Linked DNA regions of Struthio camelus. The protein of the gene in region 1 purifies or fractionates together with the protein of each later gene. This does not show direct contact. Links are inferred from orthologs where the notes say so. Each region holds a gene or a part of one and is shown in the gene's direction. Other genes may lie near its edges.

Region 1 (7,031 bases):
GATTGGTCTAGCAGTTAATTAGTCTGCACCAGACAAATTCTCCTGCTATGCTCTTTTTCAGTCCTCTTTGGGTTCTTACAGTGTTTCACCCAGTCTAGGAGGATGGAGATGCTAAAGGGCTGTCCCAAGCGCTAGCAGTTGGTGGTGGTATGAAATGGCCGGTTTACCCAGCTAGAAATCAAGCCTTGGAGTTGTTTGGCTTCCCCAGCTAACCCAGGGAGATGAGGGTTTTTGAAAGTCGTGCAAGAAATAAGAGATGGACACGCTGTTCTCTCCAGGGTAACTTCCAAACCGAATGTCAGACTTGGCCTTTTCGAGGAAGATTTTAAGAGCCTTGCCAGAGTTTCAGACTTAGCGAGCAATAACAGGGGGGAGCTGTGCAGCCTCTCTCCCTGAAGAGCCTTGTATATACAAGTCTTTGTTAACCAGAACTGTATTTAATCCTTTGAACCAGAACACAGGCTCTACCCAGCCCCAGCAGCAAAAGCGCAAATGGGGGGGCTTGGCCTCAACTTTGCATTGCTTCTACCAGCCAGAGTAAAGGGGTCTTACCCTTGTGCCAAGAGGGACTGTGCTTAATTTACAGCACGCAGCGCTCTCCGCAGCCTAGCTCCCAAGAAATAGTTGGCAGGGGCAATTCTTAGGATTACTGGTGGATCAGAGAGCTGCTGCTTAGCAGAGGGCTGAGGAGCTCTGCAGGTGTCTTCAGTAGATCACACAGAGCACACCTTAATGTTACCCACTGCGAACTTGGTGTGGGAGGAAGGGAATCACTAGATTGTATAAAATGAAGGTGTGGGCTATAGGTTTGGCACCTCTGGCCTGTAGCGTTTATATAGCGTAGCCTCACACAGCAGAATGGGAGAGAAAGCGAGTGTAAGAGCTGTGCTTCTCTTGGAGCTGGAGGCTCCCTGCTTTGGAGCTTGCTCCGTTCTTTTCAGTAGTGGTGTTGGAACAAAACACTGCTGAGTTGAGAACTTCTATATGCACTATTTTTTTAAATGAATAGTTCCCTGCTCTTTGTATACATATCAGTACTAAATCTGTATGATGTTTAGATTAAAAATACTCTTCCTGACACTTGTGTTCCTGTAGCTCAAATTCACAGTCCGAGAAAGTAGTGATTTGTTCAAGGTAATTCTTGTATCGCTTCCTACTTTTCTAATATATAGCCCAGAAGAGTCAGCAATGTCTCAGTGGGACTATAAATTGAAGACAGACTTCTTTCTTCAACACAGTATTCAGCTTTGACCTTTCTCTGGTCCTTCCCCCCTTATACTCCCCCCGCCCCATGACTATACTTTGGGTAGAGGTGCAAAGCCTTTGGGAATCTGACGGGTAGCTTTTGCTATTGCCATAGATGACCACCCCTCAACCCTCTCCTTTCTCTGAAGCAGCCTCTTACTGTGAACGTAGAGGCACGTGGATATTCAAGCAATAGTCTTGTTTTGAAATGAAGATCAAGAAAAGTGCGTTATCTGTAGGCATTCTAGTTTTGTATTCTTGTCCTAACAAGCCTATTTTGTTTTTATATATTTTTTATATGCAGCCTTTTTACACAACAGTATTAATGTTTAATGCGTTTATAAATGTGATTGTAAATGGTGTGGAGTTTTTTTGTTTGGGTTTTTTTTGTTTGTTTGTTTGTTTTACAGGTTGGTAATATCTGGACCTTGTATTTGGATTTAATCACCCGCTCTAGAAATAGTGTGGAGTCTAACATCTTCCTATTAGCACTTCCACACCTGTGTATAGTGTTACAGTACGTCATGTGAAATGGTGATTTATCTAACAGCCTGCTCTTGCAAATATGGAAACTCTTAAGAAACTTCACTTTTTGAGCAGATGGTGTAAGCAGCATCGGCACCCAACCATACATCTCCAGGCTTTCAAGTTGCTTGGACCTGCATCAGTGTTTTCCTCTGCATTACAGACCGGGGTTTGCCATCTTATCCTAGTTACTTCTCGCCTCTCTAGCAGCATGAGATGGAAAACGTGACCCAATAGAAAAGCCCCCTGGCATGAAGAAGTTGTGAGACATCCAGTTCTTGGCTAATTTGGAATCCTTATGGCCCACTTGGATTTTGCAAGTTGAAGAAGGTCATTTAGAGCTGTAAAGATCAGTGGGCCAGAGCTGGTGCAGTCTTGCCGTAAGAATCCTGGTGCTCGTTGAGGAAACATCGTACAGCCCCTTCTCCCTGACTACAGCTGGGTGCAGCAGGGAGTTTGGATCTAGGATTGCTTTCAGGCACCCTGTTTGAATTAATACTGCCTTCTCCTTTGCAGTACAAGGCCCTGTCAGTTAGAAATTCCTTTACTTAAACGTACGTAGCAGCACCTTAACAATCAAACTCCCCCTGGAGACTTCCTTGGGGAGGAGGAGTTCTTGCCGAGCAGCGTCTGTGCCCTACGTGTTAGGACTCTTGGTGTAGCAGAAGTTGCACGAGCTGCTGTTTGCAGTGCTTACGAGTGTTTTGCATGTAGGGATCTTAATGGTTTTAGCAAAGCTTGTCTCCGTAACTCTCCTCTGTCCTGCAGCGCTGAACTGTACACAAGCTGTTTCAGATGCCTTACTACTGCCAGCAGCCGTTCTTAAACGAATCTAGGAGGATTATGTTGTTTCCACTGTCAAGGCCCAAGTCTGCAAAATGGGACGTCCTGGCAGAAGGGAAGGTACAATGAAAACCTGATACACCAGTACTTTTGTTTTGGCAAAACCGAGGCTGGTTTTTAGTCCCCTGATCTACTTGCAGGGTGATAACGCCCCTGCCCTAGGGACGAGGAAAGCTTTCTGGGCTTTCTTACTTCAGCTACTTGTCCCATCTTTCCTGCGGAAGCCATCGAGCTTGTTTTAAGTAGTTGTGGCTGCAGAGCCTGCCTCGTACTGAACGAAACCAGCTAAGCCTCTGTCATCTGAACGTACCCATACACGAAGCCTGCATAGTTGGTGGGTGTCACTGCCTTCCCCCTTCTTTTGGGGGTTAGAACAACACTAAGCCTAGGCAGGCGTCTGGGCAGTTTTATATTAAATAGCAGCAAGTGTATAAAACTGTTTTCTTTTGTTCCAATTACAACTTTATACTCTCGAAACGTTGTTTTCCCAAATCCCGAGGGAGGGGGCAGGGGGACTGGCCTTCAATCTAACCCGAGGCAGCAGCAGCAGGATTAACATCCTGGCTTTTTCAGTGTCCAAAATCTTGTTGTCTTCCTTCTTCATGCTATAGGGTTAAATCCAAAGCTAAAATGATAAATCACCTTTCACGTGCCGTCCCTGCCTTTTTCCATGTATGTCATAACTTTCAGTACATCATTGCATTTTGTATGTATAATTTTATACAATAAAGCTATAGATTTTTGGGGTAGCTGTGGTGGTTTCTCTCCCGTTTTGAAAGGCAGAAACGGCAAATCCTGCCACTGACTTGTCATTTGCATCTTTCCTAGGCGGCAGTTCGTACACCGGGACAAACAAGCGTTTGCAGTTTCCACCCCAGAAGCGCACGGGCGACGTGCTGTTTCTCGCTAAAGCGGTGTTTGTCCTCGTTTAATTCCAGCTTTTTCTTCTGCTTGTGAAAGTGGTTTATGGTCTGTTACTCTGGGGCGGAAGCCAGGCAGGCCTGGCCTTAGCAGCTGGCGACAGAAGCGGCCTCCGCTGTTGGAAGCTGATTTTGCTCTGCACAAGAGGTGCTTCCCCGGCCAGCCTTGCCTTAGCTTTCCCCGCTGGAGGGAGCTGGTGGCTTGGGACAATTTAAGGCTCTTAAGGCTCTTTTTTTTTTTTTTTTAAACCTCATCCTTTCCACCCATGGGGTCCCCTCCATGTCCCACCAGCTCTGCCCTTCTGCTGCCTTTCCAGGGTTGTAGGAACTGCACAGCAAAGGGCACGTTTGCCCCCAGAGCAGGAGCTCTTCTTTGTCCTCTTTTTCTTTCTTTTCTGCAGTTTGGGCGCTAGTCGGTCTCGGGAGGGCTGAGCTCGGGCCGCAGCCCTTCCCCGGTACCTGCGGGGATAGCCTCTCCTCCTCGCAAAGGTCGGCCAAGCTTCGTCTGCCGGAGCCAGGTCCCCCGGGGGCTCGAAAGCCGCCGGCAGGAGGACGGCCAGAGGCGCGGATGTGCGCGCTGCGTGCTGGTGGAAGCCCCGTTTCCCCTGGGAAACCAGGCCAAAAAAATAACTTTGCTTCACGTTGTACTGAGCAGCGAGGCGGTGGGGAGAAGCAGGCGGCCCCCCGCCTCCCTGAAATGTTACCTGCCCCTGCAAAGAACCGTGAACGGTTTAAGCAGGTGGGTGCGGGGTCAGCGTCGGAGCTCGCCCCCGCCACCCCCGGGCCTTGCCCCGGGGCAAGCGGCCTCCAGCGTGGGCCTGCTGGGGGGGGGGCACGACAACCCCCCCCCCTCCCTTCCCGACATGGCGTCCACGGCCGGGCAAGAAACGCCGACCTCACCAAGATGGCGCCGCGGGCGCTTCCGCCGCGCGTCCTCCCTAACATGGCGGCGCCCGGCAGGGCTGGGTAGTGCTTCCGCCCCGCTTCCCGGCGTGCAGCGCGGCAGTGGCGGCGGGGAGAGCGGCAAGATGGCGGACGTGCTGGACCTACATGAGGCGGGCGGCGAGGACTTCGCCATGGACGAGGATGGCGACGGTGAGGGCAGGGCGGTCCCTACCTGCCTGGTGCCACCGGCCGGTCCGGCCGGCTCCCGGGCCGCTGTTTCCTTCCCTCGGGCCTGCTCAGGGGGCCCTGTAACGGCGGGGCCCTGTCCCCTGTCCGGTCCTGGTTCAGGGCCAGGTTCCCCCGTGGGCTCCCCCCGCCCCGCGGCCAGTCCTAGGCCCCCTCCCTGCGGGCCCTGCTCTCAGTCGGGTCCCCCCGCACCGGCCCCGGTTCGGGTCCCGTTCCCCCATGTCGGTGCCCAGCCCGGACTCGGGGACCAGCCTGTCGCAGGGCCCCAGATCGGGTCCTGTCCCGCCTCACCGATGCCCAGCCCGGACCTGGGGACCAGCGCAGCCCGGGGCCCCGTTTGGGTCCCGTCCCCTGTCTCAGTGCCCAGCCCGGAGCTCAGAACCAGCCTGGCCCCGGGTCCCCCCTCCCCGCCCCGGTTCCGACCCGATCGCGGGTGCCTTTCCTCACTCCCGCCCCTCTCCTTCACAGAAAGCATCCACAAGCTGAAGGAGAAGGCCAAGAAGAGGAAAGGCCGAGGCTTCGGCTCAGGTGAGCGGCGGCGGTACGGCTCTACCCTCCTTCCCGCCCTCCGGCGGGCAGCGCCTGCCCGCGGGACCCTGGCGTTGGCCGCTGCTTTCCAGCGTTCTCGGCCCCTTCCCCTCTCAGGCCTCGGTTTCCCGATTTCAGCTAAACGCTCACCCTGGAATCGCTCGGCCGAGGTCCCTGGCAGGCAGATCCCTCCTGCTGGGTGCACTGGATCAGTGGTTTGTGTGTCGTGACGTTTCAGAGCCCGTTTAGGGCGGTTTGGAGAGTGGGATCAGAGCAGGAGCTTTGTACAGGAATGTAGCGTCTGCTGGGAGCAGGATCGCTTTGCCAAAGCACAACCCAAATCTGGCTGGCCTTGCTGTTCCCTCCCGCAGAAGGGAGAGGACTTCTCAGGGCTGCGTGCGCAGGCCGGTGGCCTTGTCCTGCCCGTACAGAGGAGCTGGCTTCAAACCTGGCTGTTTCAGCGTTCTCGGGGAGTCCTTAAAGGTTGTCTGTGTCCTACTGCACTCCTGAGCGATGGCAGCGGTCACCCACCTCTCTTTCCTCCCCTTCTGTTGCGTGTCCAGAGGAAGGCTCGAGGGCCAGGGTGCGCGAGGATTACGACAGCGTGGAACAAGATGGGGATGAGCCAGGCCCACAGCGCTGTGAGTACCTGCAGGAGGCACCCGTCCCAGCCCTGACTCCGGGCGCTTTAGAGGAGGGAGACGATGTGTTGTTTTCGGGGAGATGGTGGGGAAACGTGGGGCCGTTACTTGGCTGCGTATCAGGATTCAGACCTTGCTGGGGCTGAGCCTTTCCCTGCCTCTCCGGCCTCTGTCTTGGGCTAAGCCAAGAGGTTGCTCTCTGGGACGCCAGCTCCCTTTTCCACCCGTGTGTGGCTCATTCTGTGTTGTGCTTAGCCACAACGCGCCCAGGGATTTCCAGCCACTCCAGGGGCTGGCTCTCGTGGGAGGCCCCTTCCTGAGGTGTCTCACGTTCGCACCGCAGAGGTGGGAGAGCACCCTGCGTTCGGTGTAACGATTGCCGCTTTTCCCGGTGCGCTGCAGCGGTCGAGGGCTGGATTCTGTTTGTCACGGGGGTTCACGAGGAGGCCACTGAAGAGGACATTCACGACAAGTTTGCGGAGTACGGCGAGATAAAAAACATCCACCTGAACCTCGACAGACGGACGGGCTACCTGAAGGTAGGAGGGGATGCGCAGGTTGGGCTGGCCTTGAACCATCTCAGCCGCTTCAGCGGCCGCACATAGGGACGCGAACACAATTTCCTTTTCCCCAGCGCTACTGTCGGGTGCCGCAATGCTGCCTGAACAGCAAGACAAGCTCAGGGAGGGGTTTCTCAAACGTCCAGCCTCTCGCTGGGCTCCCTGCTTCCCCTCTGCCCGGGATCTCACTTACTTTTGCTCCCTCCCACCCTTAGGGATATACTCTTGTTGAGTACGAAACCTATAAAGAGGCTCAGGCAGCCATGGAGGGGCTGAACGGCCAGGAGCTAATGGGGCAGCCCATCAGCGTGGATTGGTGTTTTGTAAGAGGACCCCCAAAAGGAAAGAGAAGGTAAGAGGGTCTGTGCTTTTTGACCGTGTTAAGCCAGAATGAGGTTTTCTCTGGATAGCCGCATGGGAGGAAGGGTTCAGCTGCAGCTCCTTTGCCCTGCTGAGGCAGACAAGGGAGAGCAGGGATGAGGCTGAGCTGCTGGTGGAAATGTCACAATGTTCACGAGCCCTGGCCGGGGCTGGAGACCTGTGGATCCGGGGAAGGTGGGAGGTGAATGCCCCAGAGCGTTTGGTAGCACAAACGTTAGTTCTGGCGGAGCTGGCTGACTTTGCTGTGAAAAACGCTG
Region 2 (7,337 bases), on another chromosome or scaffold:
GCCAGCCGGGGAGGAGGGTGGGACTTGGCGCCCGGCCGCGCTCGGGATGCTCGGCGCGCGCCGGCAGGGCGCAGGGGGGGCGAGAGCGGCGCCCCGCCGCCCCGGCCTCGGTTCCCCCCGCGGAGGCGCAGCCCCGGCGGCCCCGCGGGCCCTTCCCCGCCCTCCGGCGCTATTATTTGTTCATGGCGACGGCGGGCTCCAGGCGCCGGGCGCTCCACCCAGCCGCGACGCTCGGGGACGGCGAGGCGGCGGGCCGGGGCACGTGCCGGCGGCCGCCCCCAGCCCCGCGCGGGGTCCGCGCCGCGAAGGCAGCGACGCCGGGCGCGCGGGACAGGCCGACACGCGCGGGTGCCCGGAGGCGCGCGGAAGCAGCTCGCGCCCCTCCAGCTCCCGCGCGGCCCGCCGGCGTCCCCTCGCCCCCCCCCGAGGCGTAGCTGCCCCACGGACGCCGGCCGGCCCCACACTTGCGCGGCCCGGCCCCGGGGCTGAGCCGCCCGGCGCAGGCCGAGCTTTGACCCCGGCGGGGTGCGGCGCGCCAGCCGGCGAGCGGCCTGCGGACGTGGCCCGGGACCGCTGGCCCGCGAGGGGCGGCGCAGCCACCCCGGGGTGCCCCGGTGGTGGCCGACCCTGGGCGCGCGGGACGTCCCGTGCCCGGCGGCGGCCGCCTGCGGCTCCCTGCTCGGCCGCGCGCCGGCCGGGGACCCGACGCCTCCGTCCTGGCCCTCCCCTTCCCAGCAGGGAAACTGAGGCACCGGGGCGGGGGGGGGGGAAGGAGACACGCGACCACGAGCCCCAGGCGGGGAGGGAGCGCAGGTGGCCGGTGCGCCGCGGGGTGGCCCCGGGGACAGGGCTGCCGCTGCCGGGGCGCATTGCCCGGGCGCCCGGCACCTCGGGACCCCCCCAACGGGGCCCGCCGCCCGCAAACGCTTCCCTTATTTAGTAAATATTTGCAGCCAGAGGCCGAAGGGCTCCATCCCGGGAGGGTTTAACCCTTCGGGGCACAGACCGGCCGAGCCGGGACCCCCCCGTTGCGCCGCTCCATCTTCCCCGGGGCTGCGAGCAGCACTGGGGTCCCCCTCCCCGATGTCATCGTCCCTCGGCTGCCGGGGGGGGGGCAGGACACCTGGGTCCCCCCCACCGGGGAGGGGTGAGAAAGGCCGGGGCGGCTCCCGGCGGCGGGGACGCGGGGGCAGAGGCCCAGGGACGTCCCAGGACACCTGGGTTCCCTCGGGCGGCCCTGACTCACCGCCTCCGCCGGGCGGCTCCGGGGTCCCGCCTGCGGCTCGCGGCACGGCCCGGCGCGTCCCCAGCCCCCCCCCCCCCCCGGGGACGGGCCGGCTCAGCCCACCCAGCGGGCCGGGTCCAGCCGCCACCGGCCGGGCATCGACGCCCACGCGCCGCGGTCCCGTTAACGTCAGCGCCCGGCTCCGCCGCCCGCTCCGGCTCCACCTCGGCGCAGCGGTTTGCAGCTGTTTCCCCGGGGGAGCATCTCGCTTCCTCTCCTTCGGCGAAAGCCCGCGAGCGCCGGGGGCTGCCCGCTGGGGCGACGGGCGCCGTCCCCGGCCCTGCCGCCGGGCCCGCAGCGAGGATGCCGGGATGGAGGATGCTCTGCCCGCGGGGTCTCGGCTCCGGGAAGAGCCGGTGGGAGACGACGAGCGGCCGGGGCGGTCCCGGAGCCCCGAGCAGGCAGGGTGCCGCGGCCGGGCGGGCGGCGGGCGCGGAGCAGCGCTCCTCTGCCTTCCTCTCGCTGGCAGAGGCCCCGCCGAACCCTTTGTTCCTTTGAGTCATCGCACACGGGCTTGTTGTTTCCTCCTCTTCGGGCCGCTCCAGCGCACCGAGGTCCCGCGGTCGCCCCGGGACGGGACGCGACGGCGCCGAGCGGGGACGGCGGAGCCGGCAGAGCATCCGCTCGCCCCGGCGGGGCGAGACGGGGGGCGGCCGGACGTGCAGCGCCGAGCGCCGCGGCCCCCGGGGGCACCGGCCGCCCGGCCCCGGCCGCCCCGTCGTGGCGCCGCCAGCGCCGCTTCCTTCCCCTTCCTGGAGGAGGGGAGGGGGAGCGACCGAGGAAGCCGGGGCGCGCCGGCCCGGGTGGGCACGGCCCCGGCGGGCTCTCCGCGGCGCCAACCTGCGCGCATCCCGGACCCCCGCTCCCGCCGCCTACCTGCCTCGGCTCGGCTCGGCGCGGCGTCCGCGCGCTCCCGGCGGCCCGGCCCGGCCCTCTGACATCACGGCCCGGCAGGCGGGGGCGGCACCGGGCACACGTGCGGCCCGGGGTACCGGGGCGGGGGGGCTAGCGTGCTTCCTCACCCGCTTGCACACTTAGGCGCTTGCACGCTCGCCTGCACAAGCCCGCGCGCGCTCACCTGCGGCCGCGCTCCTGCCCTGCCAGCCGGCGCGCGCTGCGGCCGCCCCGGCACGCTCGCAGCCGCTCTGGCACGCTCGTGCCTTGCTTTGCACACTGATGCCTGCCCTTGCACGCTTGTCCTGCCTGGCACGCTCACGCCTTGCCTTGCACGCTCGCAGTCACTCTGGCACGCTCATGCCCTGCCTCGCAGGCTCACAACTTGCCTTGCACGCTCACTTCAGCTCTGGCATGCTCGTGCCCTACCTGGCACACTCATGCCTTGCCTGGCACACTCGCAGCTGCTCTTGCACACTCGTGCCCTTCCTCACAGGCTCACGCCTTGCCTTGCACCCTTGCAGTTGCTCTGGCACACTCATGCCCTGCCTGACGTGCTCATGCCTTGCCTTGCACACTCACAGCTGCTCTGGCACGCTCATGCCCTGCCTCGCAGGCTCACGCCTTGCCTTGCACACTTGCAGCCACTCTGGCACACTCACACCTCGCCTGGCACACTCATGCATTGCATGCTCGCAGCCACTCCTGCACTCTCATGCCCTGCCTCGCAGGCTCACGCCTTGCCTTGCACACTCACACTTGCTTTGGGATGCTTGTGCCCTGCCTCATGCGCTCATGCCTTGCCTTGCACACTCACAGCCACTTTGGCATGCTCATGCCCCGCCCGGCACGCTCACACCTTGCCTGGCACACTCACAGTCACTCTGGCACACTCACGCCTTGCCTTGCACGCTCACAGCCACTCTGGTACGCTCACACCTTGCCTTGCACACTCACAGCCGCTCTGGCATGCTCTGGCCCAGCCTGGCACGCTCACATCTTGCCTGGCATGCTCACGTCTTGCCTTGCACGCTCACAGCCACTCTGGTACGCTCACACCTTGCCTTGCACGCTCACAGCCACTCTGGCACACTCACATCTTGCCTGGCACACTCACATCTTGCCTGGCACACTCACAGCCATTCTGGTACGCTCACACCTTGCCTTGCACGCTCACAGCCGCTCTGGCACGCTCAGGCCCTGCCTGGCACGCTCACACCTTGCCTTGCACACTCATGTCTTGCCTTGCATGCTCACAGCCGCTCTGGTACGCTCACACCTTACCTGGCATGCTCACAACCGCTCTGGCACGCTCTGGCCCAGCCTGGCACGCTCACACCTTGCCTTGCACACTCATGTCTTGCCTTGCACGCTCACAGCCATTCTGGTACGCTCACACCTTACCTGGCACGCTCAGGCCCTGCCTGGCACGCTCACACCTTGCCTTGCACACTCATGTCTTGCCTTGCACGCTCACAGCCACTCTGGCACGCTCACACCTTGCCTGGCACGCTCACAGCCGCTCTGGCACGCTCACACCTTGCCTGGCACGCTCACGCCTTGCCTGGCACGCTCACCCCTTGCCTGGCACACTCACAGCCACTCTGGCACGCTCACCCCTTGCCTGGCACGCTCACAGCCGCTCTGGTACGCTCAGGCCCTGCCTGGCACGCTCACACCTTGCCTTGCACGCTCACGCCTTGCCTGGCACGCTCACCCCTTGCCTTGCACGCTCACAGCCACTCTGGCACGCTCACCCCTTGCCTGGCACACTGGCAGCCGCTCTGGCACGCTCAGACCTGCCCCCCCGCCCACCCCCGGCCTTGCCCGCTCACGCCCGGGGCGAGGGCTGAGGCCGGGCCCGACGGGCGGCCGCGGGGGGGGGGGGGGGGGGCTGGGGCCCCGTCGTCTCCTGCCACCCCCCCACCCCGGCGCCGCTGTTGCGGGCGGGGGCGGCGGATGCGGGCGGGTCCGGCCCGTCCCCCCCCCTTTCCCCGGCACCGGGCGCCGCACGGAAGCACCGGGCCGGGCCCCGCGTCGCCATGGCGACTGCGCCCCTGCGCCCCCCCCCCGCCCCGGGCGCAGTGCATGGTGGGAGCCCCGGTGCATGCTGGGAACCCCCCCGCCCAGCGAGTCCGGCCCAACTGGGCGCGGCCCCTTTAAAAACAAAATGGCCGCCCGCTCCGGCGCCCCTGGGCTTCGGCCCCTCCCTCCGCGCCGTCGCCACTTCCGGGGGCGGGGCCAGGCGGGCGGAAGTGGGTCGCGCTCGGAAGATGGCGACTCCCTATGTGACTGACGAGACCGGTGAGTGCGGAGCCGCCGCCGCCCCCTGCCCCGGCCCCGCCGCGGCGGAGGGAGCCGGTCCCGCCCTCCCCCCCCCCCGCCGGCGCTGTGGGGCTGAGCCCCGCCCCCTCCCCTCCCCGCTCCCTATGGGGCAGCGCCCCCCGGCGCTGTGGGGCAGGCCCTGCCCCCCTCCCCACCGGCTCCTCCAGGGTCCGCGGGGCCCGGTCTGTCCCCGTCTCTGTGGGGCTGGGCCTCGCTCCCCGCGTCTCTGTGGGGCTGGGCTCCCCCCCTGTTCCCTATGGGGCAGGCTCCCCCCCTTGCCCCTTCTCCCTATGGGGCTGGGCTCCCCCCTCTCCCTATGGGGCTGGGCTCCCCCCTCCCCCCTCTCCCTATGGGGCTGGGCTCCCCCCTCCCCCCTCTCCCTATGGGGCGGGCTCCCCCCTTCCTCACTCCCTATGGGGCGGGCTCCCCCCCTCGCCCCCACTCCCTATGGGGCTGGGCTCCCCCCTCCCCCCTCTCCCTATGGGGCAGGCTCCCCCCTCTCCCCACTCTCTATGGGGCTGGCTCCCCCACACCTTGGTCCCTGTGGGGCAGACCCCACTGCCGGGTGTCTATGGGACCCAGTCTGCCCCCAGGCCCCCAGCGTCTCTAGGGCTGGGCCTATCTTCTCCCCATCACCCTAGTCTCTATGGGGCCCTGTCAGTATTCCCCCCAACCCTGCTCTCTGTGGGGCAGGCCCCTTTCAAGCCGGACACTAAGCTGGACTCTGTAGAGCTTGGCCCATCTTCTCCCCACCACCCCGATATCTATGGGGTGCCGTCTGCGTCCCCTCCCCTCAGCCCCTGTGGGGCAGGTCCCCCCCCCCCCCCCCAGTATCCAAGGGCCTGGGCCCCTTTCCCCTCCCTGCCCCCTGGCTCTGTGTGGGGCAGGAGGGGCTGTGGGGCCGGCTGTGCCGTGACCACCTCTGGGCTGTGGGGGGGGGGGGGGAGTACGGCGGGGGCCGCTCGCCGACGGCGCCTTCACCTCGCAGGGAAGTACATCGCCTCCACGCAGCGCCCCGACGGCACCTGGCGGAAGCAGCGGCGGGTGAAGGAGGGATACGTGCCGCAGGAGGAGGTGCCGGTGTAAGTGGGGCCGGGGCGGGCAGGGGGCGTCCCTGGGGGCAGCGCCCCGTCTCCAGGCCGCGTTCCCTCCTGCGCCGCCGACGGCAGCGGTCGTCTCCGGGCTCGGGAGGGAGCCGGGGTCTCCGCGGGGGCCCGGCCGGGTGTCTGAGCGCTGTTAGAAGGAGGAGGAGCTGCTGGCCGGGTTTGAAACGCAGCAACGACCTTGCTTTTGGCCGCCCGGGGCAGGTATTTTTGGTGGTGGTCAGTCCGGGACCGCCGGTGTCGAGGAAGGATAGACGCGGAGAGGCGCTTCGTGCTCCGTTACCACAGCAACGCTCGCCGGCCGCCGCTGGAAGCGGCGCTGTCCGTCAGACGTCCGTTGGTCTTTCCCCCCTCCGCCGGTCGCTCTTGCTGTTCGGGTCGCGCCCGGCCGGGCAGTTCCTTGCGTCACCATCGGGTGTCCGGCGGCGGGGACGCCCTGGCGTCCTGCAGGGCTCCGCGGCTGACGTCCCAGGCCGTCCAGCGCTTAACGGCCCCCAGCCCTTTCCCTGCGCCCAGCAGAGCCTCCCAGTTTGCTCCCTGCATCTGCTGCTCGTTTCCCTGCTCTGCTGATGGGCCCAGAAATGAGGCCGGGCCCCCCCGGGTCTCCCGCGCCGGCAGGGTTGGCTCCCAGATGGGTCTTTGCTCCTCGCGGACGAGGCGCTGACAGCTCTGGGCACGCGGCAGCCCGAGGCCAGGCGTCTCCTGCCCCCCGGGACCTCGTCTCCGGCGATTCCTGAGGCCACGCGCGCGTGCCGGGTTACGTCTCGAGGTCTCAGTCTCTTTCCAGGTGCCCGACCAATCCTGACCCCCTCACCCTTATCCCATAAGCGGTAAGCTGACGGTACGTATCAGCTTCCACGTCGGTCGTTGTCTGGGGCGGCTGCGCGGGGCTGGACGTGAGCACGGCCCTGAGCAGAGAGGCGTTGGCAGGAGAGAGGCGCTCGGGGGCGGTGACGGCCTCTCTGAAAGGGTCCGCTCGGCCGAGGCTCGCTGGGCAGCGAAGGGGCAGAGCCCCGAGATCCCCCGGGGCGAGTTGTAGATCGGGGTCGCTCTGTGCCCGAGGTTTGGCCAGAGGTGCTGAGCACGTGGGAGTTTGACCTCGGGGCCCTCAGCGCCGCGCCAGACCTGGCCCGCCGCCCGCAGCGCTGCCCGGGGCTCGGCGGGGGGACGCCGCAGGGGTGTGGGAGAGACGCGTCTTCATGGGCTCTCGTTCTGTGCAGGTACGAGAATAAGTATGTGAAGTTTTTCAAAAGCAAACCTGACCTGCCGCCCGGGCTGAGCCTGGAGGCCAATGCTCAGCCCAGCAAGCAGCCTGGCAAGGCGGAGAGCGGAGAGACGGGACTGTCCAAGGCAGCTAAAAGGAACTTGAAACGCAAGGAGAAGAGGAAGCAGCAGCAGGAGAAAGGGGAGAGGGAGACAGATGAACTGATCCAGTCGCTGGAGAAGACCTCCCTGTCGGGAGGCAGCGGCGGGGACAAGGGCCCCCCGGGGGACAGTCAGGCGGCCGCGCCGCAGCCGGCCTGCGGCGCCAAGGGCCCCGCCGACGGGGAAGCCTCCGCCTCGGAGAAAACCAAGAAGATCAAGAACCTGAAGAAGAAGCTGCGGCAGGTGGAGGAGCTGCAGCAGCGGCTCGACTCCGGGGAGATCAAGCAGCCGACGAAAGAGCAGCTGGAGAAGCTGGGGCGGAGGAAAGCCTTGGAGGAGGAACTGCAGGACCTGGAGCTGGACTT
Region 3 (7,538 bases), on another chromosome or scaffold:
AAGGGAAGGGACCAGCGAAGGCCGCGCCGCGCTCCGTCGCGCCTTCCTTCCCCGTCTCCCCGGCGTTGCCCTGGGGTCTGAAACCCCGGGTGGTGGGAGAGGGCTGGGAAGCTTGAAACTTTTCCGTGCGTCGTTGTGTCGGCCCTGTTACGGGGCCTAACATGCAGGTGTTTCCATGGGTGGATCTTGTGAGGCAGCAGGTTGGGAGGGTGGTCGAGGTCTTGGGGTTAACCGTAGCGCTGCTCTTCTTGAGAGCGCGGAAAGGCGGTGTGAAGTGCAAAATGAGGAATAAAAGACCAGATTAATTGTGTGTTAGGTCTTCGGGTACTGCAGGCGCCTTTTCTCCTTTGTATATGCTCAGGCTGTTTCTCTCATCCTTTCAGAAGTATGTTCTCCTCTCCTGACCTTCCCTGTGAAAAGGCCGCGACAGGGTCAACCAGCTACGTGATCTCTCACCGTTTAATCTCGACCCACCCGAAGCGCCCGTCATACGCTGGGCTGTGCTTAAACTGGGAAGAAGACGTGTTCACCTCGGCGCCTCGGGAAAACGCACCACAAAATCCAGGAGTTAGGTTGGACGTGAAACTCAAACCAGCAGCCTAAGTTCTATTTTACAGCTTCTAGTAATTTCCTTCCCCTTTTTTATTTTTTCATTCATTCTGACTCCTCTGAGCTAAAACTTGTTCCTGTTCTGGGCTGTACTTTAGCGCAGGATGAGAGGGACTGATAGAAAATCCAAGTTGTAACAGAATCTAAAAGCTTCATCTAGACTTTGTATGAATGCAGACCTGGGAGGCAGGGGTGCTGCAGGCGAGAGTTACTTTGTAGGTTGCCTTCACAACAGGGAACTCGAAAAGCCTATTTTTCTTCTTCAAATCAAACAGTGATTATATGGTTTTGAGACAGGTGGAACTGAATTTTGCAACTGAATTACTTAACGGTGCCATAGCTGACCAGGGATTTTATGATATTTACAGTTCTGGGAGATGGGCCGTTTGTATTCCTTGAGGCCTGTATGGGGTTGGGTTTATATGCAGATCTATAAAAGCCAATTTGGGAGGAAAAAGAAGCGAATGACCTTTAATGCTGCAAAGAAGGCAAACGGATACTGCTATAGAAGGTTAGCTGAAATGTGGCCAGCCGAGTAAAGCACAGTAGAAATGTGGCTGTAGGTATTATTTTTTAATGTATACTGAGAACAAAGGAACCTTGAAAATAATGTTGCTCCATCGCATGATACAGCAAAGTTGACGATAAAGAGGCAGAAAAGGTTTGTATCAAATATTCCTGTACTGCACTTGGGAAAAAGACAAATATTGCAGACAGAACACATGATGAAATACTTTTCCACCGTTCTCAAGCAAATATTTGTCGACTAGCTGATACCAATGTTTTTGCTGTAAAGCAGATAGAGAGCTAACTGAGTCTTTCTCTTCTCAATTAACACTGATATGAATAGGTTTGAAACACGAAACACCTTCCGAATAAGAGCACTAATGCTACCTAATGTTTAGAAAGAACTAAATGAGGTGGTTTAGTAATAGATTGTCAATCCCAGGGAAGTAATTGAATGTTTGTATATACAGGTTTACTTATTGCTTTAATCAACCCTAAGCATGAATTTATGGAATAAATATCTCATCAAATCAACCTTTTTGTTTCTGAGAGGCAAAGCTCGGTAGATAAAGATTTAAAGTAATGAGTAGTACTTTGCAGACTTTTGCCAGCGTAATCATCTTGCCTGGGATACAACTACACATGGCCAAACTCCTGCTGTGATTACATCTAGGTCGATAGGAGAGTGGCTTCATTGGCTTTGGTTCATGTCTGAGCGTGAGAAAGTGGTACTTATGCCAGCAGAAACACCGCTTCTGTATTCATGTGCCTCGGCTCCACGAGGGGACTCTCCTGGCCTGGCTGTGCTGGCAGAGACCAGGGAGGCTGTCCGAGGGACTGGTGGGACTGCTGTATGGGACTGATTCAATACTACCTGATGCCCTGGCTAAAGAAACTAGGAATGGTTCAAAAACAAGGCTGTCTGCATTAAGTAGTATAAAACTGTCTACCCAGCAGATCTAAACTTGTAATATTTTAAACAGAAAATCATTATCCACTGGGGGTATGTCTAAAGGGGTTCGAAAGGAGTTGTGGTCGCTGGCACTCAAGTAGTCATGTCAACCTGAAAGGCCTTCCCACAAAGTAAGTCCTGACAAAGTCTGTCAGCTGGAGGTAAGTGATGAAGAGAGGCTGTCTTGGATCTGAATCTCATACTGACCTCATACATAAGCAAATGAGATTTATTTTAACGGAATCAGACATAAGCTTGTATACCTGGAAAAAAAGAATGTGCACTAAAATGTAGCTCCTTCTCAGGAAGCAGTAACTGTATATAATCTCTAAAAGTCACGGGAATAAAACAGATGGGTCTGAAAAAGTTATGTGAATATCAGCTCATTTGGCAAAAGGATCGTTTTCTGGATTTGACTACAAGGCAATATTGAGTACACATACGGATTCTAGTTTGACGTTAATGTGATTGCTTGCTAAATATTGTGTCCATGTTTTGTACCAGTAATTCAGGAAACATTGAAAAAATTGCAAGAAGAGCTTCAAGAATTAAACAATTGAAAAAGGTGCTTTATATCTGAGACTCAAGCAATGACCTCTACTTAGTTTTCTTTTTGATTAGCAGGAAGACTGGATCAGCTTGTAAGTAGGCACCTATGAAACAGGTACTTCATAAGGAAAAGCTTTTTGTCCTATCAGACAAAAATTGAGCCCGGTTTACCTGCACCGTCTTTACAAGAGACAGTTCCAGCATAGCTGTGGTTGGTGGGGAATGTGGGATAGTCTCTGGAAAGAATAAAGAAGGAGCTATTGTTTGCTTTCAAAATTTTAGTGACAGTGCATTTTATTCATGTTAGACAAGGCAGCAATGTCATTCTTCACAAGAAAATAAGCCAATATTGCTTTGGTGTCACGCCGTTGAAACTGAAATTTAAACCTAAGATAACACTGAGCCTGCCTTCTCGAACTTGAACAAAACAGCTCACTCAAAGGCATTCGTTGACAAGTTATATGCCTGGTGTATTTGGAAAATGAAGCACCAGCAATAACATGTGGATATCTTTCCCATTTAATTTCTCTTTTTTGTTGCTGTTTTTTGTTGTTGTTGTCTTTCTGTTTAGCACAGATTTCTTCTCCGTTCTCATAAGTCAGTTCAATCAACCTGGTAAATCAACATGATTTGGAAAGTACATAAAATCTTTGAGAAGCAAAGACACTTGATTGATCTACATAAATAACAAGCATGACTTCATCCTTTCAAATATTCATTAATAAACTTTTCCAGAAATACATTTTTAGAAATGTCTGCAAAAATGAGTAATGAAGGAAGAAGGAGGAACAACAGGAAAGAGAGCTCTTTTCTGGAAGGAAAAAAAAAAACTATCTGGTGCTGTAACGATTGGCAGAGTATACCTAAAACTCTGCATCATTACACATTAAACGTAGCCTTAAATTTGGGCTGACTCTTGCTTTTGAATAAAAGGTGGCTTTAACAGCTGAATAACTTCATTATGCACATCCAGGCCTGGGACTGATGTCACGGTCAGATATTTTTGTGTGCTCCTCCTAAGTCTAAAGGGGTGTAAACACTGCCGTAAGGAAGCAGAGGCTCATATCAGAAACCTCCGTGCTTGAAATAAGAATCAGGATTGTAACTGTGAACTATACACCAGATTCATGTTCTTACATTCTGGATTGTGCAGAGTGGAATTTTCTAGCTTGGCCTCATTTGGGGTGGGATAATAGCCAATAGCATGGCCGGACTCGCAGATCACGAGCCTTTCAAGTAAATTTGGAGTTTCTGTGCAACTAAATTAACAATTGTAAACGCTTTCATACATATTATCCAGACAGTAATATTGATACAGCAGGAAGACACAGCGGAGATACCAGAATTTTTCAGTCCGTTCTGATAACTCATAATAGGATAGTAGAATACAGAAATGAGACAGTTATTTTTGTTGACTCATTTTAATATCAGGTCAGATCAGTCATACGTTTCAACGCTTTGATGTATACTTAATTTTTTGCTTATGGTTCCCCTCCCTGCAGTGCATCATCCAGGAGGCATCAGAACAAAACTGTGAACAAAAGCATTGTTATATGTTAGCCCTTAACATATGCCAGTCTGAAGTTTGTGTTTGACTGATTAACGTAGAGCTGTTCTGAGAGCGTCTTGGAGCTTCGAGTACTCGCAAAGACACTATTCTACGACTGTTAATCATCCAGTAGAAAGTGATATGTGTTATGCCGTAAAATACAGTAGGAAGGAATACGTATTACGTCGTAAAACGCAACAGAGAACATCCGTAACATCGTCTGACCGTGTGATTTGACTGAGTAGGATGCCACCGTTATTGCTGTTTTTCCACCGCGGTATCGGCGGAAGAGCTCTGGTAAAAGCGCCGCGCTCGGGTGCCCTAGGCAGGCAGGATCATTTCCCCAGGACTCCGCCATCTCCTTACGAGAGATACCAACGAAACGACCAAGGCTCAGGGAGAAACCCGCATTAACAGGCACGCGAGGATCGTTTTAAAACAGCGTTAAAAACAGCGTTATCCTAAGGGCAAGGTACCGTTTTGACCCCGAGGCCGATTTTTCGCTGAGAGCTCATGCTTATAATTTTAAATGCGTATGTGTTAATAGTTTAAAAAAAAGGGGGGGGGTGACGGCAGCTGTCAGAGCTTAACGATGAGGGAAGCCCCCGACGCGACGGCGGCCGTGACGCAACGCACCGCCTCCCGCACTGCCGAAAGCGACGTCACGGCGGTGACGTCACGGCGGCGCCGCTGCGGAAGGGCCGTCGGCCAGCCGGCCCCGCCCCGCCCTCGGCCACTTCCGCCTCCGCCGCCCCGGTAACGCGAGCGGGGCTGCCCGCCGCCCGCCTGCAGGACCCCGCCCGGGGCTGCCCGCCGCGCTGCCTGACGCCGGCCGCTGGGAACGGCCGCTGGCCTAGCGGGCCGGGGCGGGGGCGGCGGCGGCGCGGGTAGGCGGCGCGGCGCTTCCTTGTGGGCGGGTGGGCGGCGCGGCGGGGCGAGGCGAGAAGAGCGCGGGGTCCTCGTGCGCCAGGGGAGGGGGCGGCGGCGGCGGAGGAGGAGGAGGAGCGGCGGGCGCTCACCGGCAGGCCGCGCCGATGTTTGCCCCGGGCGGAGGTAGCGCAGGGCGCCCAGCGGCCCTGGGCGAGAGGGTCCGCGGCGCGGGGAGGGGGGCGGGGGCCGTGAGGCGGCGCGGGGTAGCGGCTTCCTCGGCGGGGGGGGCCGTGAGGCGGCCCGAGGCCGGTTTCCGCAGGCTGCCGCGGGAGCGGGCAGGGCAGGGCAGGGCCGCGGAGGTGGCTCGGTGGTGGAGGAGCTGGTGCGCGCCGGCGGCGCCCGGGGGGCGGCGCGGGCCGCTGAGAGCGGCTCGTCTTTGGGCCTCCGTTCCCCGGTGAGAGGGGTCCGGCCGCGGATCTGACAGCAAAATATCGGCTCCGAGCCGCCTGGAATCGAAAGTAAAACTGCCCAGCGGGGTGGGCAGGCCTGCTGCCCCGCCAGCGGGCAGGGGGGCTTCTTCGCTGCCACTTCCTCTCCTGTCCTGCCTCTCATCTTTCAGAAACTTACGGCTGGGTTTATTTTCTTCTCGTTGGCCGTGATCTTTTTCTTATCTTCCTTGTCTTTAGAAGAAACCGGAATTGCTTTTCAATTCTGGAAACTTTTAACACGCTGAAAAACCTCCAAGTGTAAACAGACAAATCTCGTCCCCTTTAGAAAGTGCATCACCCGACACTTGAAAGTGGGACCCCTTGCATGCGTTGTTTGTCTCTCTAACTTGTTTTCTAATAGAGTAGCTGCATAAAGGAATACTTACGTGGTTAAATTAACTTCCAATAGCAGTACAAAAATAATGGGAGAAACTTTAGTAAAGCAGGCACTCCTCGTATCTGATGTTTGTACAATGGTATTTCTCCTCCCATGCGTGTTTTGATAAGGATTGCAATTCCGATTCATGCAGTTGCAGTCTCTCTGTGATAAACTTCTTGTAGATGTGAGAGAATTAAGCAGTTCAAGGCAAGGTGGCAGTGTTTATGCTTTGTGGTTACATTAGTGATGCTGATCTTTAATACTTTGTACAAACCTTTGGAAGCCTTGAGAATAAGCCCTTACATTGATGTTTTCTGTTAAGTGTTGCCTAATGCCATCAATTTTTCGTAGAGTGAGATCGGTGTGAAAAGCGGAATAGAAATTCCAAAACAATAAATAGCTCTTAATTAACCTTGAGTTCAGGCAGGAAAAATAAACATAGTTTTCACTTAAAAAAAAAAAAAAAAAGCATCTATAGGTGATTGAACTAAGATGATAGAGGTTCAGAACTTCTAAATGTCACTACAGATATCAATGGCAAGTGGTCCAAGAGCCCATTGAACTCATGTCTTTTGTCTTCTCTGGTCTAATTTTGAGCTGTGAAGCACCAGTTCCTCCTATCTGTTGGCTTCTGACGTTCATTTCTCCTCCTTTCCTTTTCACCAGTATGCTCACATAAGCATTAGGTACTACATAGAAGTTCCTTTTTTTTTTTTCCAATAATTCCTTAACATTCCCTTAATTTGGACCCAACTGTGTATCTTCAGCCTATCTTCTTTCATAGGTTTCCTGTGAAAATGGGACTTAGGTGAGCCTGCTGCCTGTCCATTTCTTTTTTTCCTCTGTATCTTATAACTCTTGAACCTTTTGGCCAGTTTCAGCTGGATTAGACAGCTGAAAGTTTCAAAGGTATAACCTTTCTACAGATCTTGTGATAATCAATGGCTGAGAAGAACAAAAAAGACTTAAAATAACATGCACACTGAGGGAAAGGCTGCAGCATACGTTCAATGAACAATTCTGTTCTGTCTTTGCTGTTAGTTGGCACTTGCGCACTGACCCGTGAATCAGTGTGTGTATAGCTTGGAGACAGCCACCACGCTGGCTGCTTCCTGCAGTCAGTAGTTGGTAGATATAAAGAGAGTTGGAAGAACAGTGGGAAGGTTTGGGGAGACAAGAGCTATACACAGCGGGCGGCGCAGAGTGTTGCAACGCATATTTGTTCTGTGATATATGACAGAAATCCATTAGAAAATAGGTTTCTTTGGCATGAATGTTCGGGGGAGAGGGAAAGATGATATTGCTTTGGGATCGAAATCACACTGCACCAGATTATGCTCCATTCCTTTTCTTTATTGCATCTTCTCTCTCTCGCTTGTATAAAAGCAAGACTCAAACATCCCTTTAAAACAGAATTGTGAGTTTATGTAAGTGATACGAGGAGGAGTACTGCTTTTAGTAAGTGACCATGATGCTAAAAAATGCACATGTAGCTGTTTGTTTTTTTCCCCAAATTATAATTAAGTTGCTCCATGACCAACAGGTGAGGAACAAAGATAAAAGCCAGAGCAGTGGAATTGTAACATGTTTTTCCAGCACTTCTTTAATCAAACAGCCATTTTTCCAGCGTTTTCC
Region 4 (7,938 bases), on another chromosome or scaffold:
CTTCAGATCTTGAGAACCAGCACGTTTTCTGTGCCCAGAGATTTTTCATCAAAAATGAAAATGGCTAATTCATGTTTTAGTCATTAAAATCAAGTAATAGGTCTAAAATGTAACTTGTACACTTGTATTAAGATTTAAAGATTTATTTTTGATGATACTCTTAAAACAATATTTACATATTCTGTTATCTTGTAATAATTTTCATCCACTTTATGGGAGCAAGCTATAAAAGAAACTAACACAGACTGATGACTAGTGGTGCAACTCATTAAATATTTGCTATACACTTTTCACTTTTTTTTTTTCTTTTGGTGCTTTACATGAATAAGAGATGGAAGATGAATGATGAATCCAAGTACTTATATTGAATTTTTGCTGTCATTCTTTCTCCCTCCAGCAGCGCATTTTTCTTCACTAACAGTTCTCTTAGTGCAGACTTTAAACAGGCAATGTTGAACTTACTTCAAATTTTGTTAATAATTGAATATTGCATCACTGGTTGTTACTGTGATCTTGTGATCTCTTCTGGGTGTGTGTGGTTTTTTTTTTTTTTTTTTTGATAGATATGGCGCTGCATGAACTGGAATATAAGCTGCCTCTTATTGTCCAATTACATCTGTCTTATGACTCACTCAGTTTTCAATAGTCAGATTCTGTATCCTAAGGACTATGCTGTTGCTAGAGACCCTTTCATGGACGAAGCAGTGAGGTGGGAAGGTCTGTGTTCCTTTGTTTATCCTAGCACCCCCATTAGCTGAGATGAGTCACTAGTGAGGACACAAATACTAATTTTCTTTACTTTACTTGCTGGCTGCTGCTGCTCTACTCAGCTAGACTGTTGGCTGTGCCTGGTTACATCTTGGTTCTTCAACTCTTTTCCTGGTGTCTTATGAATCCTCATCTGGGTCAGGGAGACCTCTTTGCATCAATATAGGCTGCATACATCATTTGAGTCCAGGATGGTGGCTGCTTCCCTCATGTCCCTGCGTTATGGAACATGACTATACGTTCTCTATACACTTGCATTTTAAAACTCAAGGCTACTGGATGAGGAAGATTTAGGGAAAGAGTTTGTGTTTTGGCCAAAATTCCACGAACTCTCAGAACTGATACTCGAATGAAATCTATCTGGTCCCATAAGATCCCCTTGTTTTCCTGTGCCAACATAGCACTAGCACTGCCTGGTTCTGTCTCAGTGGTACCGTGAATTGGTCTGTGACGCCCCAGAGGGAGTTTAACATGCTAGAGTAACAGTTCTGTGTTATGGATTGAAGTATTTGAGTCCAGCACAGAATTCGATACTAACTTCATATTTCTTTAGACATTAACAAGTAAGGAGAATGAAAATGGTTTACTTTCTGGTTCAAAAACACTTCATCCGAAATTGCAGGATTCTCTGAAAAAGAAGGGATATGTCCTACACTCCCCAGGAGGCAAAGTGAAAAGATATACCTGCACAGGGTGTGGGGGAAGAGACTCATTCAGGAAGTGTCTGTGTTTTCTGGCCGGTGTCCAGTCTGATTCCTTCAATGTAGCTAGATAAAAAGCTCATGAAGAGCTTTCTTTTGGTATCTGATAGTTTACGTGTAGTTCAGATGGCTTCTCATATGCAAGGTAAACTGGAAGTTTTTCTTGGGAAGATTAGCTAAAACTCTGAAAGTGTGCCTCAACAGCCATTGTATTAAGTCTCATCCTTTACAGGATCTTTCAGTAGTTTGTTGTTATCTTCTGGCTCACGTATACTGAATGCTTGTAACCAAGATCACGTTGTGGATAAAGAGATGGCAAAGGCTTGTTGCTGCATACAGAGCAGCCTGAAGACTATCACCAACCGTTTCTCAGAGAACTGAACTGTTTTTTTTCTCTAGAAGATTCTCTCTTTTTTAACACTAATTTGGGTAAATCTAGTTTTCTAGGTTATCGTGACAAGCTATTTCCATACCCAAGTTGCCTAAAAAGTCTTCTAGCAAATGAGGCCTTTTGTCTTATGTCAGGCATGGGTGCAGGACTCATGTTGTTTACTTGTTCCCATGGTGTTTTTATTACCATTGACAAAATAATTTAAAACACTGGTAAAATTTCATATTTTTTCTTGTACTCTCCAGTCATGATTTGATGATACATTGGCTCTGATGACAACACTGCTTTATAGTATTCCTGCCCTGCCCATAAGAATCTACTTTTCCCTGTGCCACTACCTCAGCTGTGGTAATTCAAGTGTTTGTGAGGTTATGTTATGAATCAAATCAGGGAACTTGATTTGATTTAAAAATCTTTTCTTCTCAGTTCTCAGGTTCAAAGATAGCAAACAACTGTTTTAGCATTTTCAGTGGGGAAGAGTGGTAGGAGTGGGAAGGAATAGGTGAAATACCTTAAATGGGTATTGCTGGAAAGACAACGTATTATTACACTGTGCTGTCGCAGATTTCTGCTGAAGTATTTTGGCTGGCTGTTGCTGGCTTGCATTTGTTGGCATTAAAAGTTACCTAGAAATAGATGTATGCAAAGTGTCCTAGATTGTCAATGATTTTTCCTGGACAACATCAGAGGAATTATTGGTATGACTTGTCCTGCCTCCCAGCCTGTTAGGCAACTACAGTTAGGTTAGAGCTTGCGAGATGACTGATGATGCATGTCTTTTGTGCACACATGAGGGCATCCCCTCATCTATCTTCTGTTCAGTATGTTGATCTGCTCTTGTTTTATCCAACTGTCATTTCCGTACCTGCAGCTCCAGCTATGCTCTAGTGTTCTGCACTTCCCAGCACCTGTCCTGCCCTTGCCTGGACTCTACGTACTAGATAGCGCTTATTGTCTTTCTGGGTTATTCTGTTATTCTGATTTTCAACCCGCCTCTAGTCAAACTGGGTATTTTCCTTGTCCTCATGAGGTCTTTGATTACTATTTCTGGCCTCACTTGCCCTCAGGTTCTTTTGACTCTTGCTTTTGGTCATTGCCTTAGTTAGCTTTGGCAAGTGGGTACAAGGTCCAGGTCGTGGTCAGGTTGAGGAGACTGTCAACATGTCCCCACAAGAGACATCCTCTCTCTGTTTCATAACCTAATCTCTCTCCTGCAAGGATCAGTTTTGTCCCAGTTTGAGGTGGGGGTGGGGGGAGACCTGGCTGTTGCCTGCAAGCTTGTCAGACTAGGTCTTGAAAACCCACAAGAGATTTCTGTGGATGGTCCTAATTGACTCCCATGCTCTTCCCAGCTACTATAGGCTAAAAGATTTGAAGAGGAATAACACATTAGAGTTTGCTTGGCCAATCCCACCTGCTTTTATCTTTAGAGCTGAAAATTGCCTCTTAGGATCAAAGGTGAGGCTAATGGGATGATTGGAATATCCCATCCTAGGGATAGTGTGGTCAGGTTTCTTATTCATGAAGCCTGACAGACCAGTGTTGACAAATCAGACTTCAGCAAACATCAGAAAATGTCCTCCAGGAAAAGCCGTCACCTGATTTCCAATTATGACGATGAACTATAGCCACTGGTAGTAGACACAGAAGGAGGTTAAGATGGAATTATGATTCTGTTTTCAGCAGCTTCAGTACTGAGTTATTCCACATCAAATCAGCTACTATTTGTTGTTGTCATGTTGTGGACATCTATTTGAGGACTGACAATGCAGCATCGGCATCGGAAGATCAGTGTTGACCCTGTGTATTCTGCATAAATTGTAGGCATTTTTGCTTATTCTGTCTGTTTTCTGTTGCTTTAGAGGAGTCTAGTGGTATGCCTATGACCTATGTATGACCCACAGCCATTCTTCAGTTTCTGTGTCTCTGTCACTAAGCCTAGGAGAAGTAGTCTAGGACATCCCAAATCATCCAGGAGTTTCCAGAAACTTTTTAGAACTAGAAATCATAAAATTGCACTATTGCAATCCAGGACTGAGTAATCCTTGATCTGATGGATGGGTCACTACTTCTAGACTAGCTACATGGAAGATCTATTTCACTTTGTGGTCTCAGTTCAGGGACACCTTGCAGGTGAAAGATTAGTCTGAAGATAAATTAATATATATTCTACTTGTTCTTATCCTTATTCTACTCATTATTGGTGACTTCCCCAGTGACTTTGCCATGGGCAGAGATAGGATGGTGGCATTGTCTGAATCAGTATAAACATTTTTATGTTCTTATTTGATGTCTTCTTATTATTTGATAGGATAAATCAAATGCCAAATATCCACCAATGCTTGAGAAAATGTATTGGGAATGATGCTGATGTGACTGTCTGTGGGAGCTAAAGCACTAGGTGAAATCCTGGGAGCTCGTCAGAAGGGCGCTGAAATGTCAACCAGAACGACTCCGGAGCCTGCCGCATGGCCTGAGAGGTGGGTGCTAATGACATGTTGCCTGACTGTAGCCAGCGCTTCCCTAAATTGACAGAAACTCTCCTTGGGCACAGGACTCGTGACCTGACCTAACGGCCTCGTTTCATCCCTAGGACCTGCCTGGATTTCCAGCCCTGTGTCCTGAGCCTCAGCAGGCCCCAGCCCCGAGGTGGATTGCACGTACGCCATCCCGCTGCGCAACGGAGAGGCGAGGCCGGGGCAGACAGAGGCCGGCAGCCAAGTCTCAGCAGCCAGGGCGGCGAGGTTCGCGCCCCGGCCAGGGAAGGGGACAAGTTTCTTTCTCATCTCCTTCCCACAGGCATAAGTGGGACTTGTGTGGGGGCTCCTGAAAGTACCCATGCCAAGGAGGAGGGGGATGACGATGAGGGTGAGGATGCGGACGAGGACGGGGATGGAGAGGATGAGGACGGAGATGGCGCTGCCCGTCCCCGCCCCCCCCCCCCCCCCCCCGCAGCGGTGACCGTTGAGGTGCTCGGGCGGGGTTCTGGGGCAGCCCGCTCCGCCCCCTCAGTGAAGTCTCGCGAGATTCCACCCGGCGAGCGGCCAGTTCTCGCGAGCTTTGCGCCTGGCTGCGGCGGCGGCGGTTGTTCCATGAGGTCCGAGCGGGAGGCTGGGCCGGGACCAGTTCGAGGTGGCGGCGGCGGCGGCGGCGGCGGCTGTGGCCGGGAGAAGTGGCCCATGGAGGTCCCGCTGAGACGAGAGTCGCCGCGCCGCGAGCCGGAGGCTCCGCCAACGCCTCCTCCCCCGCCGGGGCCGCCGCCGCTTCCCCCGCCACCGCCGCCGCCTCTTCACCCGGCGCCGGGTAAACAGCGAGAGGAGAAAAAAACGGCGCTGAGCAAAGTGAGGGGCCGCGCGGGGGCCGCGGGGCGAGCCCGGGGGCTGTGCTGTGCCTGGGGGTGAGCCTAGGGCTGAGCCGGGGGGCTGGGGGCGTGCCTGAGGGTGAGTCTCGGGGCTGAGAGTGTGCCTGGGGGCCTGGGGATATGCCCGGGGGGTGTGCTATGGGGCTGGGGGCGTGCCTTGGGGGCAAACCTGGGGGCTGGGGATGTGACGGGGCGGGTGTGCTATGGGGCTGAGAGCGAGCCTGGGGGCTGGGGATGTGCCGGGAGGGTGTGCTGTGGGGCTGAGCGTGTGCCTGGGGGCCTGGGGATACGCCCGGGGGGTGTGCTATGGGCCTGAGGGTGTGCCTTGGGGGCAAGGCTGGGGATGTGCCGGAGGGGGGTGTGCTATGGGGCTGGGAGCCAGCCTGGGGGCTGGGGATGTGCCGGAGGGGGGTGTGCTATGGGGCTGGGAGCGAGCCTGGGGGCTGGGGATGTGACGGAGGGGGGTGTGCTATGGGGCTGGGAGCGAGCCTGGGGGCTGGGGTTGTGACGGGGGGGGGGTGTGCTATGGGGCTGGGAGCGAGCCTGGGGGCTGGGGATGTGCCGGGGGGGTGTGCTATGGGGCTTGGGGTGAGCCTGGGGGCTGGGGATGTGCCGGGGGGGTGTGCTATGGGGCTTGGGGTGTGCCTGGGGATGTGGCTGGGGGGTTGTGCTGTGGGGCTTGGGGTGAGCCTTGAGGCTAGGAATGTAGCTGGGGAGTTGTGCTCTGGGGCTGGGGGATGTGCTGTGAGGCTGGGGATGTGCCTGGGGGGTTGTGCTGTGGGGCTGGGAGAGAAGTCTGGGGGCTGGGGATATGCCTGGGGGATGTGCTGTGGGGCTGGGGATATGCCTGGGGGATGTGCTGTGGGGCTGGGGATGTGTCGGGGGGTGAATCTGGGGCTGAGGGTATGCCTGGGAGGCCAACCTGGGGCCTGGAGACAAGCTGGGGGGGCATGCCTGGGGGTGTGGCTGGGGGCAAGGCTGGGGCTTGGGAGTGTGCCTAGGAGCTGGGGGGAGGTGAGCCTGGGGGATAGGTGTGCAGGGAGTGGCGTGCCTTGGGATTGATCACTGAGCAGGGGGCATCAGGAGAGGCACAGAAGAGGTACATAGAGGGGCTGAGGAGTAAGTGCGGGAGTAAGGGTTGTTTGGGAAGGGGTCTGGGGACGGGAATAGAGGGGCAAAGGGGGATGGGCATGATTGAGCCAACTGGAACAACCCCTGGGGCAGGTGAGCAGACAGAAGTATTTGCAGGTAAGGTGAGATGGAGAAGTGCAGAGGAAGGCAAGGGCAGGGAACATGGGAAGACTTACTAAGAAGCGTTGGGCGATGTCCAAGGATCAGAGGAAATTTGTAATGAAGAGCATGGCCCAGAAAGGCCCATAGCTTCTATTCTAAACACTGAGGCTAATTCCAAGGAAATACAGCATTTAAACATCGTCTTTGTTTCATCATCAGCAAAATGAGTGTTCACTTTCTTAAGTATTTTGAGGACCTCAGCAAGAGTGCTGCAAATTTGCCTGTCTTTTCATCTTTCGTTCTTTAAAAATTTAGATTGACTAATATAGTGGCAGAGCAGGTCTTAAAAGAACAAGAGCACTTCTCTCTCCATGGTTTTATTTGAGCATCTTTCAGAGAATACTTATATAGAGTACTGTGAGATTTGTTTTATTCCCTTTTTCTAAATGGGGAAAGGAAAGCACTGAAGGTCACCATGACTTAAAGTTAAGTCAAGTTCAGATATTACTGAGAAATAGAAGTACGTTATCTGAATCTTGATGACCATTTCACTCTTTTCTATACTGTCATGAGAGTTTTCATGCAGTCTCAGACACTTTATTCTGGAGTGAAGACTTTGGACGATGTACATAAAATGCTTTTGTAATAAAAGACTTAAAAGTCAGTTTAAACAAAATCATTTTGTAAAGAGAGAATGCAAGTATTTTGTGTGGTCAATATTTATTTTTTTTCCCATTTGTTAATATTTTGTGTTCTCAGCCAAATTACAGTGACTTTTAAGCTCTTCATCAGAATGTTTCACTTATGCTGCAATTTTACGGTGTTAGTCTGTTGTTCTATACGTTTTATGTAGCAGAAAGTGAGATAGGTCAATTATTCCTTCTGCCAGCAAGTATAAGAAAGTAAGTCACTAGGAGGCTAGTGTTCCAATTTAAACTCCCAATTTTAAAGAATAATAGTACGTGATATTTAGTCTCTTCCCACAGTATTTAGATCAAAGATATTTGTCCATTTTGTTTTATATGCGCAGGTAGTTATTCGCCGGCTTCCTCCTTGTCTAACTAAGGAGCAACTAGAGGAACAGCTACATCCTCTACCTGCCCATGATTATTTTGAGTTTTGCACTGCTGATCCCAGGTGAGGATATGCTGTTGGTCAGTACTAAGTAGAAAAGAAAATGTTTGTACGAGTTTTCAGGTACTTAAAACCCAATTAAAGTATTTTGGATATAGTCATGTACCAAGTTGCATATTTTGTCCCTGGAGCCCTTACTTTTTGTTGGTGTTAGTAGTTATTCAAAATGTTTTTGAGAACAGAGATGCATATGTAGAGACAAGGGCATTCCTGCCCTTTCCTTTTACACTGCTGATTTTAAAACAGAAAATTGTTGTTCTGTGAATAGGGCGTAATTTTGTTCAAAATTCTCATGTTTCTTTTAGCCTTTATTGAAATGGAACACATTTCTTCTGAGCCACTTAAATTCC

What was found.
Region 2: the proteins of RBM8A (region 1) and PYM1 purify together in Homo sapiens (co-immunoprecipitation; 11 studies listed by BioGRID and IntAct, counting the BioPlex papers as one, with this or other methods). This does not show direct contact. The link is inferred for Struthio camelus from reciprocal best matches to the Homo sapiens genes RBM8A and PYM1.
Region 3: the proteins of RBM8A (region 1) and UPF2 purify together in Homo sapiens (co-immunoprecipitation; 6 studies listed by BioGRID and IntAct, with this or other methods). This does not show direct contact. The link is inferred for Struthio camelus from reciprocal best matches to the Homo sapiens genes RBM8A and UPF2.
Region 4: the proteins of RBM8A (region 1) and UPF3A purify together in Homo sapiens (co-immunoprecipitation; 4 studies listed by BioGRID and IntAct, with this or other methods). This does not show direct contact. The link is inferred for Struthio camelus from reciprocal best matches to the Homo sapiens genes RBM8A and UPF3A.

Annotation. Positions count from the first base shown.
Region 1 is NC_090971.1:3,081,935-3,088,965, reverse strand, and holds the start of RBM8A (RNA-binding protein 8A), read left to right. Parts: upstream 1-4,016; 5' UTR 4,017-4,396; coding exon 4,397-4,628; intron 4,629-5,132; coding exon 5,133-5,192; intron 5,193-5,755; coding exon 5,756-5,833; intron 5,834-6,235; coding exon 6,236-6,372; intron 6,373-6,608; coding exon 6,609-6,745; intron 6,746-7,031.
Region 2 is NC_090969.1:707,138-714,474, forward strand, and holds the start of PYM1 (partner of Y14 and mago), read left to right. Parts: upstream 1-4,327; 5' UTR 4,328-4,452; coding exon 4,453-4,483; intron 4,484-5,492; coding exon 5,493-5,586; intron 5,587-6,827; coding exon 6,828-7,337. Other genes in the region: DGKA (diacylglycerol kinase alpha), read right to left, coding at 2,162-2,226. UniProt on the Homo sapiens protein: Key regulator of the exon junction complex (EJC), a multiprotein complex that associates immediately upstream of the exon-exon junction on mRNAs and serves as a positional landmark for the intron exon structure of genes and directs post-transcriptional processes in the cytoplasm such as mRNA export, nonsense-mediated mRNA decay (NMD) or translation.
Region 3 is NC_090942.1:7,366,235-7,373,772, reverse strand, and holds the start of UPF2 (regulator of nonsense transcripts 2), read left to right. Parts: upstream 1-4,538; 5' UTR 4,539-4,638; intron 4,639-4,924; exon of another isoform or gene 4,925-5,053; intron 5,054-5,070; exon of another isoform or gene 5,071-5,219; intron 5,220-7,538. UniProt on the Homo sapiens protein: Involved in nonsense-mediated decay (NMD) of mRNAs containing premature stop codons by associating with the nuclear exon junction complex (EJC).
Region 4 is NC_090942.1:156,043,435-156,051,372, reverse strand, and holds the start of UPF3A (regulator of nonsense transcripts 3A), read left to right. Parts: upstream 1-4,923; 5' UTR 4,924-4,952; coding exon 4,953-5,201; intron 5,202-7,484; coding exon 7,485-7,591; intron 7,592-7,938. UniProt on the Homo sapiens protein: Involved in nonsense-mediated decay (NMD) of mRNAs containing premature stop codons by associating with the nuclear exon junction complex (EJC) and serving as link between the EJC core and NMD machinery.